2 linked regions of the Oryzias latipes genome follow. The protein of the gene in region 2 purifies or fractionates together with the protein of the main gene of each other region. This does not show direct contact. Links are inferred from orthologs where the notes say so. Each region holds a gene or a part of one and is shown on either strand. Other genes may lie near its edges.

What was found. Proteins that work in one complex are often made in the same cells at the same time.
Region 1: the proteins of cttnbp2 (region 2) and stk26 purify together in Homo sapiens (affinity purification with mass spectrometry; 4 studies listed by BioGRID and IntAct, with this or other methods). This does not show direct contact. The link is inferred for Oryzias latipes from reciprocal best matches to the Homo sapiens genes CTTNBP2 and STK26.

Annotation. Positions count from the first base shown.
Region 1 is NC_019876.2:4,690,932-4,694,448, reverse strand, and holds part of stk26 (serine/threonine-protein kinase 26), read left to right. Parts: intron 1-2,429; coding exon 2,430-2,615; intron 2,616-3,115; coding exon 3,116-3,258; intron 3,259-3,331; coding exon 3,332-3,428; intron 3,429-3,517. UniProt on the Homo sapiens protein: Serine/threonine-protein kinase that acts as a mediator of cell growth. Modulates apoptosis. In association with STK24 negatively regulates Golgi reorientation in polarized cell migration upon RHO activation.
Region 2 is NC_019864.2:3,451,369-3,455,413, reverse strand, and holds the start of cttnbp2 (cortactin-binding protein 2), read left to right. Parts: upstream 1-1,242; 5' UTR 1,243-1,447; coding exon 1,448-1,576; intron 1,577-4,045. UniProt on the Homo sapiens protein: Regulates the dendritic spine distribution of CTTN/cortactin in hippocampal neurons, and thus controls dendritic spinogenesis and dendritic spine maintenance.

The DNA of each region.
Region 1 (3,517 bases), on a different chromosome or scaffold from region 2:
CGCTGAGTCGTGAATATTTTTACACATAGTGGGGTGTGGTAAAAAAAAGTAATGTACTTCAGAAAAATTGCAGCAGAATGTTTTATATTAAGTATATAAAGTAAACAAACGAAATGCGCTACTGTCACCGGAAGTTGATGGATTTCCAAAGTAAAGTGTCAGTGAACGTCCTCATTTTTCAAAGTAAAACTATCGAGTTTTTTTCGTAAATAAAAAAAAAAAAGACTACAGTTCAGTTTACTGACATAGGTTCTGAAAAACGGATTTTGGTTAATCATAGTCAACAATTAAAAAATACAAAATGAAAAATATTTCTAATGAGACTTTCTGCTAGCATGAACGTGTCTGCAAAATCTAAAATGTTGGAGTTTTTTGGTTTTTCTTCTAAAAATAGAAAGTCAGCTTATAAAACAGGTCTGTTGGAAAGACTGTTGTAGTTTAGATGAAAGGACAGTCGATGTTTCCTACTTGTTGCCTTTTTATTGAGGTGTTGCTGCGTCTTCATTTACTTTCTTCTTAGCATCGACCCACTTGAACTCCAGTCGGTAAAAGTTTGAGGATGGAAAAACATTTTCCGTTTTTTTTTTTGTTAAACGATCCAAAACATTTACGTTTGTTTTGTTTACTGCTGAAGTTAACCAGGAAGTTGACAGAAAAAGCTATGAGTGTGACGTTATTTAAAGTGGTCAATATCATTTCTTTCTTTCTTTCTTTCCAAATCTTTGTTTTTATACGTTAAGTTGATTCTGATCTCCTGTTCTAAGCAAAGGATGATTAAATACACATTATTTTCATTCATCGCGTTCAAAAGACAAGCGGTGCGTTTGTGTGTAGCCACATGCTGCCATATGGTCGGTGTGTAACTGTAATGGATCTGCAGAGTTGACGTTCTAGCAGTAACCGAGCGTCCTGTGACTCAGCACCATACTGTCTGTCTGTGTGTGTGTGGGTGTGTGTGTCTGTCGGTGTGTGTGGTGAGGGTTTGTGAAGGGTGCCACCGCTACACAACTGTCAGAGTTGAGAAGACTCATTGTTCTGGACTCTTAGGCGTTGATGAAACCTTTTCAGAGTTGCTTCCTCTAGGGTTGTGTGTTGGCAAGACTCTGGGGATTTCCTGCTTTTCTTGGAATCATTTATGAAATATTTGATCAACACGGATTTAAAGGCGCATCGTCAACGAATGGTCTGTTTTCAAACATACGGCACATTGGACTATACGGCACATTAACCGAGACCAGAGTCAGGCATGAATCTGCCAGTCAGTCAGACTGATGTTTACAGGAACTCTAGAACATGTTTGTAACACGCTACAGGTATAACAAACACGTAGCCAGGTTAGAAGCGCTAGCTGGGTCAGGGTATTCACAACGACTGTAACTTCTAAGCTCGTTAGGAGAATCTGCTAAAATAAACGTTACTGTGACTTAGGGCTGTGACGATAACCGCATCACTGCACGTTTTTTTAATTTGAAAGTTCTGCATATGGCGCGTGATTTGAACTATAATAAACACATTAAACACATTCATCTTTGCTGATAATTTACTTTTTCTGCTAGTCCTGTGTGTAGAAAAAGTCTTCATCCTCCACTGCAAGGGAGGGCGGGGCAGCCCATTATACATATTATGGGGGTCCTGACACCATGACTCTTGCTGCTTCATCACAGCGGTGGTAAAAAATCCCACACCGTCACAGCACTACTGTGACTACGCTAACCCCCTAACTTTGTTAGTAACACGCGGTCCAAAACTGCTACGGGTTGGCTGCGTCAGAAGCGTTAGCGTAGTCACAAGGCCTGTAACTCCTAACCTCATTTGCAACACGTAAGAAACAATACTTCTAAAATAAAGTTTGTTTCTCTGACTATGCTAGTTGTTCGTAACAGTCTAAGGCCGAAACAAACTGTGACCACGCTAACCCCAAACCTTGTATAAAAACACTTTTAAAAAAGCATAGCATAGAGTTAGCAGGTTCACAATATCTGTAACTCCTAACCTTGTTTGCAATGCATAAAAAACGATGGATACCGCTAAAACATAATTGTGACTACGCTATCTCCCAAACTTTTTAGTAAAGTTTAAAAACAAAAAATTCAATTCCGACAACCCGATATGTTCGCTAGGCTAGCATGCTAGCATGAGATGGTTCTGGTGCTGAGCTGCTGAAAGAGTCTTGGTGTGCTGAGCTGCCATCTCTTGATTGGGGGTGTAAGTGGAAAAGTCGGACACTGAACTACATTTTGGCGTATAAATAGCTAGTTAAAAATGTTTAAAATCCATACAGGTCTTGCCATTTTTAAAAATCTGATCCAATATAATCTGACTGACTGACAGACTCATGTCTGATCAACACACATTTAAAGTCGCATCGTCAGCGAATGGTCGGTTTTCAAACTGATGATGATGTTTTCTGCTCCTGTGTGTCTCTACAGGCAGACATTTGGTCTTTGGGCATCACGGCCATCGAGCTCGCCAAAGGGGAACCGCCAAACTCAGACATGCATCCCATGCGCGTCCTCTTCCACATCCCCAAGTCTCCTCCTCCCACGCTGAGCGGAGACTTCTCCAAGAGCTTCAAAGAGTTCACCGAGGCGTGCCTCAACAAAGACCCGGCCTTTGTACGCATCCAAGTTACTTTCAATCAAATAGATGATTTTTCCATCCTAAGGAGGTCAAATCGTGCTTTTGTCTTGATACAAATTTATATCTGTACGTCTTCTAAAGTCATATCCAGCTTTTTGTTGTGATAAAAAAGATTTTTAGGTGTTTTGAAGTTTTTAAAGTAACTATAAGAACAACTTAATCATTTATTATTAAAGAAAAAACAGAAATAGTTTTGTTTCATGTGGAGCTTTGGTACCAAATGGAACATTTTGAAACTTTATTTTTAGTTACTTTGCACTCCTGTAAACGTAAGGCCGCTCCATGAAAGTTTTGTTGTGTTTTGCTGCCACCTAGTGGAAGAAATTATTAAATCTCCTTAATTTGATCAATAAACCTGAGGCCAAACATTTAATCATTTTATATTTTTTTGCCTCTTACTTTGAAAAAATCTCATTTCCTCTTTTTTTTTTTTTTTTTAATTCCCCTCCTTTGGCTTCACTCTACGGTCCTGCAGCGGCCGACCGCCAAAGAGCTGCTGAAGCACAAGTTCATCACCAAGCACTGTAAAAAGACGTCTTACCTGAGCGAGCTGATCGACAGGTACAGGAGGTGGAAGGAGGAAGGTCACAGCGGCAGCAGCTCCGACGACTCAGACAGGTGACTTCAGGGCTTTCTTCTGCTGCTGCTGCATGTCGGTTCAGCGCCTACAACTGTTTGTTTGTGTGAGCAGTGAGTCCAGCAACAAAGAAAACGACATGCATCCTGAGTGGTCCTTCACCACCGTCCGGAAGAAGAAGACAGAAGGCAGGATGGTCCTCAACGGGACGGTTAGTCGCAGTATCTGGTTCCTCGGGAACCTTCATCCTGATCCTCCGATGGTTTTAGGGCATTCGGGTTGAAGCAGAAATGTTCTTTA
Region 2 (4,045 bases):
AACTGAAACTGAGATGTAATGTTTAGCCTTTTTGTATGGTAACAAACTTAAGTTATGCTTAAACGCAGATTCTGTAAAAACCAAATCTTGATATTACAAACACATGAAAAAAAATAATTTGAAATAAAAGACACATCGGTGGTATTCTTTAAATACTATAATATATAATATATAATATAATAAATAAATAAGGCATGTCTCTCCCCGTATCCTTTCAAGTTCTTTTTTAAAGTAAACCTTTTGCAATGTCAACAACAAAAGAACCAAAAATAATGTCATCCAGTAAAATCCAGCATTTCAACTACCGTATTAACAGACCACCATGCCTTTCAGTAGAAAAAGGGCATAAGAAACAGATATAATCAAGCTCAGTTTGCTACACTATGATTTTCTCTGCACATTGGTCTAAGCCAGATGCCTGGCATCTTTTCTTAGATGCAAGTTAATTAATGTCTGGGGTTAGACTCTGAGCCGAGGAAAACCTTCGTATTTTAGCAGCAATGTCTTGAAAGCTCCTGTTGTCCATCTTTTGTTTGGCCATTTTTGTGGAGGGTGAAATTAATTTGTCTGATGTGACTGGAGCGCGGCTGTCAATGACTGTCAACAGTCATGCCAACATACTAGCAAAGCATTGTGGGATGTGTAGTATTAACGGTACAGAATATACCGCGTGCCAGCTCCAATGTACGTTTGATATGATCTCACGGGCCAATTATAATTACACTGCGGGCCAAATTTGACCCTCGGGCCTGAGTTGGACACATGTGACCTGGACCATGGTATAAAGAATGTGGAAGTCTTTTTAACTCAATGTTCTTTTGGCATGTCTGTTGTTCTGAGTATGTAATGTAGAATTAAACACGGATTTATGATTTGTGTATTCCTTTTATTTAGTTTTATGATGCTTTCTATATGTTTTTAGGTTTTAATGTTGTTGACATTTGGACCTAGAGTCTATAATAAGAATTCTATTCTATTCTATTCTATTCTAATTCTATTCTATTCTATTCTATTGAAATCAGAGCTGGTGCAGTGAAACTCCAAACTTTCCCCAGATCATTGGCTGTAAATGTGAAGCTGCTGAAAACAATGTTTGTTTTCATTTAAGGTCATCTCTTTACGCGCGGGAGGGGGGGGCGCAGACGCCGCCGTTGACCAGCCCCCCCCCCCCCCCCCCCCCACTTCCCCGCCCCCACGGCTCCTCAGACAGGCAGATGCTCCTGTCAATCATCCGGAGGGAGGAGGGCGCTGAGGCACATCCCTGCGCGTGAGTGGGCTCCAGGCTCTCACATCTGGATGTTCCTCCGGTTCACGCCCACAGCGGCTCCCCCCCTCCCCCGCAGCTGCTGCTCCTTTCCCGGAGATCTGCTCCCATCAGGCCCCGCGTCGTGTCTTTCTGTCGGCCGTCCGTCCTGGACGGGCTCTGCTGTCGGTGGCGCAGCCGTCCATGAGTGTCGAATGCGCCGTCACTCCGGCACAGCGCTTCAGCACGAAGATGGCGTCGGAGGGAGTCGGTGGAGAGCAGCCTCCCCCGGTGCAAACACTGGCAGCCGCCGTGCCGGGAAGCCTGGACGCGGTAAGACACGACCCGAGCGGCGGGCATGTTTGGTTCGGTTCGGTTCGGTGTGGGAGCGTTTTTTTCTGCAGAAACAACCAGCGCCGCGCTGCTGACTGGATCCAGAGATCCCAGCCAGGCCGGAGAGGGTTCGATGCCGCCGCCGTCGGGTCCTTTCATCCGCTGTTTTCGCTCTCGTGCAGCGGCGGGACGCGCAGGAACGCCGCGCGGAGCAGAGCGCGAGGATGAGGAGGAGTTCAGGAGGGTTCAAAGAAACACGCCGAAAGGGAGGCAGTCCACGAGGTGGAAAGACTCCATCCATTATCTGAACGTCCTGCAGGCAGCCTGGCTTCTAGAGGTGGAGTTTGGTCTGACCTGAGGCGAGGGTTTAGTTGTGGTTGATCTTCATCGTTTGGGGAGGATCATTTCTCAGGTTTGCTTTGGTGGTCTTGGCTGAGGCTTCACGCCTTTGAGTACAAACTGTTGCCTTAGTGAGGAGTCCTGCAGCCTTCTGCTTTAGCAGCTCAAAAACCAATGAGTCACTCCATCAGATGTGTTCATGGTCGATCCATAAGCATCCATCTTTAGTGTAACACAAACTGGGATTCTTTAAAAGTTTATATCTTTACCAGTAATACCAGACATAAATAGCATATATTCCACTTGGTAATAGTTATCTTTATTGCTAAGCATTGTTCAGAACTGCTTATACTTTCATTTTGTTTATTTAGTAGTCCTGAAGGAAAAATAATCAACTGATTTCCAGTTTGATTTTTTTTTTATTGTGAGAAATAAATGGTAATTGGCGTATACTTGTATAGCCCTTTACAAACTTCTTCAAAGGCCCAAAGGGCTTTACAGTCACAGTCCCATTCACACATAGATGGCAAGGCTGGAATCGAACCTGCAGTATTCCAATCAGAAGTCAGCTGCTCTACCGCTGCTACACAGCCACCTGCCTGAAATAAGCCTTACCATTTTTAAAATCCGTGATGGAATTATAAAAGCAATATTTTGATGGTACTTTCACACCATACTTTGTATCCTGATAGTTCTTGGATGCGTTAAAGCTCTTCTGAACTCTGGTACAGACCAAGCAAGTTTACTCCTGTTAGCTGAAACGGGTGATCTCTGTTCTCCTGCTTCTAAACGCCGGTGTGGTTCAGTGCAGAAGACAGTTACAGCAGACCCAAAGAGCAGTAATCAATCAAAGAAGGTCTATGTAAGGCCTTTGTCACATGTACAGGGTTTTGTGGGTTTTTGGGATGTTCGGGCCTTTGGAGGGTCGTACAGAAAACTGGCCGCATCTTAAGCGCTTTGAGCGTCTGGAAAAGCGCAGAAAAATCTAATCCATTATTATTATTATTAAGCAGAATGCAGATGTTCCTTTCAGTTCAGTTGTGTGGCCACTTCCAGGTGGTATCATGAAAATGTTACATACTATGGTCGTGTTTGTTAAGTAGTCATTTGTAAGGTGCGCACTGGACCTTATACTAACCGTGCGCAAATGCCGCAGTGCTCAGGGTTTGAAAAAATGAAAAATCCTTCTGAGACACCTGCATCTTACCTACTTCACCCTTCCTTTCCCTTGTGTGTTGTCTAAGTGTTTACTATGACCTGTCGCCCGTAGCATCGTTGCAGAAAGAAACGTGGATGAATATTTTTGCTCAGATGTTGCTATTTCGTTTGGGTTATCTCCGTGCTCTGTACAGGTTAGCCCATTTCTCACCCGCAGACAGACTGTAAGGGCAGTTATGACTAGGGCATTAGTCAGTGTCGGACAGAAGTGTAGGGGCAAGATCAAAGAAAGCAGTCCATAGTCTTCTCTGTGCTTTTCTTCTGCTTGTGTGTCTCAGGTAATACTGCCCCCTACTGAGCAGTAGATGTGACCGTCTTTTACACTTTTCTGTAGTCCTTGTTTAGCTCCAGAGAGTGCAGTATGAAAACAGACCAAACATTATGAAGGTGGATCACTTTTCATCCCAATCTAATTGAATGTTCCAAGACTGTCCTAATGACTTTAAAAAAGCCCCTGGAGAACCTGATGCACCTGTATTTCAATACAGAGATATTTTAGGATGGCGAGTAAACATTTTTTTGTGCCACAGAAAAATGTTCATGGAAAGAAGTTCATAATCTTTGGGCCATTGATGTCTTGTGTTTTTAGAATGAATTGTACCAGAGCTTAATAAACCCCAGAGACACTGCTGGTGGTTGGGGGCCAGTCCATTACAAAGCATTGTTTAGGTGGAGGGCCAGCGGACCGTCTAGAATGCAGAGAGACGACCATTCATGAATTTAAAAGCAAAAATAGGATTGTGATTGGTTGAGAAGAAAGGCAGGCAATTTAACTAATGGTTTGAGGCAGGGGTGTCAAACATGCGGGCCGCATCCGGCCCGAGGTGGTTAAGTCCGGCCCACACATGAAGAGTAAAAATCATAAGGATGTTTAAAAAAGAAAGCAAGTTTCTAGTTCATTCCTGTGGCGAG